Saccharomyces cerevisiae S288C: one gene and its partner. Each later gene encodes a partner of the first gene's protein in a complex. Each region holds a gene or a part of one and is shown on either strand. Other genes may lie near its edges.

Region 1 (3,503 bases):
GCAAAAAGACCAAAGTTTCTACTGGACCTGCAAATCAAAGAATTGGTAAATATTCCTCAATCTTCTGGCTATTGCTACACGAAATGGCGTTTGAAGGATGGAACAGGTACGTCGGGACACAAAGTGGCTCTGGACGGTGAGCATCAAACCACTTCGACCCAGAGTAGAGGTACAACAAAACACGTGCATGTGCAACATCATAGAGCACAATGGAATTATTCATTAGACAAACCAATCCTGGTGAAGCTCCACTTGGATAAAAACGGCAGATTCTTGAAGAAAATTTTGGTGTTGGATGTTTTTTTTGAGTTTGCTGATGCGAATTCCTCGTTGACTTCTAGTTCTAGTCCCAATGGCAAAGTGAAGAAAACGACCTATGCTAACGCCACTGCACTAACGGCCACAGGAAACAATTCATATTCTCAAAAGATAACGGGTAAACTTCTATTGGGAACAGTAGACATAGATATAACAGAATACGTCAAAGAAGACGAAACTCCCACAACAAACAGATTTCTCCTAAAGCACTCAAAGGTCAATTCTATAATCAACGTCTCATTGCAGTTGAAGCTAGTTAGAGGCTCTTACGAAGATTTCAACATTTCCAAATCGTTTACTAATGGCCAGCTCGCTAATTACAGGCCAGGAATAAATACTATACTGGATAACACGTCTGAACTATCTAGCCCCACATCAACAACAAACCAGATGTCACCCAAGAATACATTCTCCAATTTTAACGGTATTGGAACAACTGTAGCGAAACCCGGTACAAATGCGACAGGAAACAGCACAAGTATTAAATCACCGACTTCTACCAACCACAAGAGTAGCGAAATGACAACAAAGCCAGGGCTGTCAACAACAATATCTTCCTCTATGAGCCCACTGATTGAGAGCTTGTACCAGAAAACGTTTAAATTACCGTGGGATCCTCGACCAGGTGAATTTACGCCAAGAGAATGCGTGGAAGATATTTTACAAGGCGGAAACGGTTGGGCTAAGAACGAGAAGGGCATAAATTTAATCGATTTACAGGCATTGAGATTGAACGAAATGGAAGAAGAGTACTACAATCCAAATTATGGCAATAACCTTGGGAACAAGGCAAGTAGTTGGCCTCCAAATCCAAGCGATGACGGCTACAGCACAATGGGCAAAAGAGAGTATTTGGAGAAAAAGCAGAATTGGAGTCATATGTCACGAGCACAACGTGCAAAACTGAGGACTCATAATGACGAGGATAACGAAAATACGGCTAATGATAAAGGGAGCGACAAGGATAATAACTCTGTCGAAGACAATAACCCCACGGACTTTTTAACAGATAGAATAAGAGAAAACAAAAACTGGTCTATAATAACCCCATCGGGCTAGAATATTTGTATTGTTTTATGTAATTATAATCTTAAGCTTGCAATACCAATCACTATTACCATGTTAATGATCCCCCAGATAAAAAGACAAGACAGAGCATATATCAGACTACATTAACATCTGTACACCCCCAACTGCTTTGAAAAACCCATGCAGTTATTATTTTCAACAGACCAAGTTTTTTTATCGCTTATCCGGCTCACAGAACGAGCCGTACAACCGTCATCAGACTTGCATGGAAATGTTGAAAAAGAGGTAAAAAAGAAAATATCAAACCCAAACACGCTCGGGCTGAAAAATTAATATGGCAGGAAACGAACTGTAGCCATAATGTACCTGTTCCCGCTAATAGTAATACCATCGTATTGCTAAGGTTAGTAGCTAAAAATCTCTTACTTTCTTTATTTTGACTCTTAGGTCTTACAAGCAATACAAAACCAACACACCTATATATAACTAATAATGTCCGGTAACGGTGCTCAAGGTACTAAGTTTAGAATCTCAGTATGTTAAAATTTTTATTTTCCACAATGCAATTTGGTTAAATTGATCATAAAGTAAAGTTCCAAGATTTCATTTTGCTGGGTACAACAGAATTAAACAGAGGTTTAAAAGACGCTAAACACTAAGTGTGAAGCCTGATCATATACCTATCGGTGTTATTTTCCATAAGAATGGTAGATGTGCCATCACTGGTACCGCCCCGCCAAAGATGCAATTACACACATAAATTCAGTTTTTAAATGGTTAAGCGGGCTGTATTTGCAGATGAAGTGATACCTGTCAATATTCATGGACTCAAAAATTTCTGGTTTCAAAATCATACACGGCAAGCATATCCTAACTCCCTCTTTTGCCCATACTAATGGATAACCATCGAAATGTTATTTCTACAAAAATCACGCTTAACTCTATTTTTCAAGATTAACCACATCTGCTAACTTTCTCCCTATGCTTTTACTAACAAAATTATTCTCACTCCCCGATATTGAGATCTTTTTTAACTAGTTAGGTCTACCAGTCGGTGCCATCATGAACTGTGCTGACAACAGTGGTGCCAGAAACTTGTACATTATCGCCGTCAAAGGCTCTGGTTCCAGATTGAACAGATTGCCAGCCGCCTCTCTAGGTGATATGGTTATGGCCACCGTTAAGAAGGGTAAGCCAGAATTGAGAAAGAAGGTTATGCCAGCTATTGTTGTCCGTCAAGCTAAGTCTTGGAGAAGAAGAGACGGTGTCTTTTTGTACTTCGAAGACAATGCTGGTGTCATCGCTAATCCTAAGGGTGAAATGAAGGGTTCCGCCATCACTGGTCCAGTCGGTAAGGAATGTGCCGATTTATGGCCAAGAGTTGCATCTAACTCCGGTGTTGTTGTGTAAAAAGGAAATTATTTTGACTCATACTCTTAGATTCTTCAATTATATATATTTTCTTTATAAATAACAATCTCTTAAACAGATTAAAGAAACTCAATAATTCATTGCATTTTTAGATGAAAATATTACTATTATCGTTCATCGAGAGAATCACATGATATTATGAGCGTGATAGGAGGGTCTATATATTTTTTGGGGTACGTCAAAAAAGCAAACAGACACGTTAAGAAGGTAAGAATAACAGATGATAGAATGTTTTGCTAGTGAGAAACAAGTATGGCACCAGCCGTACAATATGCATATTTTGACATTTTTCAAGGTAAATTAGTTCCAAGTTAATAGAATAATCAAGACTAATTGACTTCTCAAAGCCTCGCAAAAAAAGCAGGAAATTCGAAAAAAAAGCCTTCAAAGAAAAAGGGAAATCAGTGTAACATAGACGATGGAGGATCATGGGATTGTAGAAACTTTAAACTTTCTATCATCAACAAAAATCAAAGAGAGAAACAATGCTTTAGATGAGCTAACAACAATTTTAAAAGAAGATCCGGAAAGGATACCAACCAAGGCCCTATCTACAACGGCAGAAGCTTTGGTAGAGTTACTTGCATCTGAACACACAAAATACTGTGACCTTCTTCGAAACTTGACAGTGTCAACCACAAACAAGCTATCACTTAGTGAGAACAGACTCTCCACGATATCGTACGTTTTAAGATTATTTGTAGAAAAATCATGTGAGAGATTTA
Region 2 (2,951 bases), on another chromosome or scaffold:
CTTAATATACAATTTCTTATCTACTTCTGCCTACAATTTTTAGGATTCATCTACTATTATTACACTATTGTTATACTATTGTATTTATATTGAAATATCAATAAAACAGGGCTCGTAGAAATGTAGAATTTTTACCTAATATTCTTCTTTCAGCCCTATTTAAGAACCCCGTTATATAATGCTATGCCCTACTGTATTTTACATATAACCCTGATTTTATGACTTCTCGATTTTGTACCCTCGGCCCGGCGACGGTAGCCAATGCCAGTAAAGTTAAGTTTAATAATGCATCATAATGTGGGGATGGGTAATGCTATTGCACCCTAAGTCGTTGATACTTCTTCAAAGGAAAAAAAAATACCGTGGTGAGGCTGTAGTTGTGTTCAAAATAAAATAAAAGCCGTACACTCTAGTAGTAAAAAGACTTTACTGAATCTTATGAAAAGTTTCTGGTTTTTGCCTCTCCTTACAGATTCTACCGTCTTTAAGGCCTAGTTTCTCTGTGTCATTGTGAAAACATGGAAAAAGCTTCCTTGAACATTGCTCAGACAAAGGAAATACCACTGACAGATAGGCGAATGGGGCTCCGAGGATGGAAGGCGTGCAGTAGGCCGCATTTACTAGGTCGAATATTGCTTTTCATGAGCATACTATTTATTACAAGTGCGGAATTAAGTAGCGACGTAAGCTCCAGAGAAGTATATATGCCGATATTCAATAATAAGCTGTCGTTCAAAGTGCCGCCTATTAAACGCTCGTTGCTGCTAGGAGCAGCCCTGTACGAAGATTTCGAATATAGCTCTAACAACAGTGCTTCTGACGGAGCGTTCTGTACCGTGTTTAATGCAGGCATGAATGACGCGTCTAGGGAGGTTGTTTTTGAAATCCATGTAATGGACGTGTTGCAAGAAGAAACAGACTCCAGCAGGTTCGGAGGAACCAGTCACGAGCGTGGGAGGCAATCACTGGGCTTCAGTGTTTTTAATAACAAGAATGGTGATTTGTTAAGAAGCAAGAAAAATCTAGCGAGCGGGACGTCGGTCATCGAAGTTAATCCTGGGAACTGTAATGAGTTCTTGATATGTTTCATAAATTTAGTCTATGACGGATCGTGGAGCTCGATTGATACTGAAAAATCTGTAACGATAAAGATGACCTACAATGATAAGCTCGATCCTGACATGTTGTTGCATTTGGTCAATCAAATGACACCGCAGGTGGTGAAAGCATTGAATACCGTCTCTGACGGCCTTTTCCAGATAGTGAGCGATACCACACTTCTTCAAATGGAAAGTGATAGGCGAGATATAAATGAGGCGACGTATAGTTATCTGATTGTGGGGTTTGTGTCGCTTATGGTAGCACAGCTGATATCCAATATTATAGTTACTACCTATTTGATTATTAAGATCAAAAGTAATCCTTCATCTCATATCAAAAAGAAAGGTTTGTAAAAGAGCATTGGGCAGAGAGTATTTGTCCTGCGTATAGAGGAGAAAAAATTGTACTGATGCTAATTTTGGTGTCGTTCTTCTTTTTTATTTTGTAAGACTGTTTTCCAGAAATGTTTGGGTTTATTTTTTAATTTTTTGAAACATTTTTTTCATCCTTTCTCATTTTGTCATTTCATTTTTCTGTGGAAAATTTCACTGACGCGAAGAAGCGATGAAATTTCCAACATCCTCCCATCATCCCAATATTGGCATACACACACATGCAGCACAGCGGAACTGCGGAGGTCAGAGGCAATGTGGCAGAGACGCTGGCGCGCCTGTATTGTATAATAGTATATTTTACACTCAATTCAATTTTTTGATATTAAATTAGTGTGTAAAAAGCTTCTGAAATCAAGAAGCCCGTACCAGAAGTTCAATCATGAAATACATCCAAACTGAACAACAAATCGAAGTCCCAGAAGGTGTCACTGTCAGCATCAAGTCCAGAATCGTCAAGGTTGTTGGTCCAAGAGGTACTTTGACCAAGAACTTGAAGCACATTGATGTTACCTTCACCAAGGTCAACAACCAATTGATCAAGGTTGCTGTTCACAACGGTGGCAGAAAGCACGTTGCTGCTTTGAGAACCGTCAAGTCTTTGGTTGACAACATGATCACTGGTGTCACCAAGGGTTACAAGTACAAGATGAGATACGTCTACGCGCATTTCCCAATCAACGTCAACATTGTTGAAAAGGATGGTGCCAAATTCATTGAAGTCAGAAACTTTTTGGGTGACAAGAAGATCAGAAACGTTCCAGTTAGAGATGGTGTTACTATCGAATTTTCCACCAACGTTAAGGACGAAATTGTCTTGTCAGGTAACTCTGTCGAAGACGTTTCCCAAAACGCTGCTGACTTGCAACAAATCTGTCGTGTCAGAAACAAGGATATCCGTAAATTTTTGGACGGTATCTACGTTTCTCACAAGGGTTTTATTACTGAAGATTTATAAGCTTTTTATTTGATTTTGTGACATTTTCTTTAAAGTAGCAGAAAAAATAATTACATATAAAAAACTTTGTATATCTAACATATAATATAATTGAACCGATACGAAAATAAAAGTACCGATAATATGTCAACTTTTTGTTTTTTGTTGCCGTTTTATTACGTGCACTAATACATATACATGCGTATATAAATATACATAACTCTTGAGGGGTTTTGTTTCTATCTTTAATGAACCACGGATCTGGAGAAATCTCTTGCCTTTTGGATCAAAAGCGCGTCAGCCAACACCAGAGCGGTCATGGCTTCCACAATAGGAATAGCTCTTGGAGTGACAGCAGGGTCATGTCTACCCTTAGCGGCTAAGATACCTTCTTCACCATCGTAAGTGGCGGTTTTTTGTTCTTGAGAGATAGTGGCCACTGACTTGAATGGGACAGAGAAATAGATGTTCTCACCATTAGAGATACCACCTTGTACACCACCTGAATTGTTGGTCTTTGT

The links. The genes of interacting proteins can lie anywhere in the genome.
Region 2: RPL23A (region 1) and RPL9A share a complex: the UniProt entries of both Saccharomyces cerevisiae proteins name them as parts of the large ribosomal subunit.

Annotation. Positions count from the first base shown.
Region 1 is NC_001134.8:59,076-62,578, reverse strand, and holds RPL23A (60S ribosomal protein uL14 RPL23A), read left to right. Parts: upstream 1-1,839; coding exon 1,840-1,881; intron 1,882-2,385; coding exon 2,386-2,757; downstream 2,758-3,503. Other genes in the region: YBL086C (uncharacterized protein), read left to right, coding at 1-1,377; DNA-binding protein kinase TEL1, read left to right, coding at 3,197-3,503. UniProt on the Saccharomyces cerevisiae protein: Component of the ribosome, a large ribonucleoprotein complex responsible for the synthesis of proteins in the cell.
Region 2 is NC_001139.9:227,254-230,204, reverse strand, and holds RPL9A (60S ribosomal protein uL6 RPL9A), read left to right. Parts: upstream 1-1,875; coding exon 1,876-2,451; downstream 2,452-2,951. Other genes in the region: RRT6 (Rrt6p), read left to right, coding at 519-1,454; bifunctional chorismate synthase/riboflavin reductase [NAD(P)H] ARO2, read right to left, coding at 2,676-2,951. UniProt on the Saccharomyces cerevisiae protein: Component of the ribosome, a large ribonucleoprotein complex responsible for the synthesis of proteins in the cell.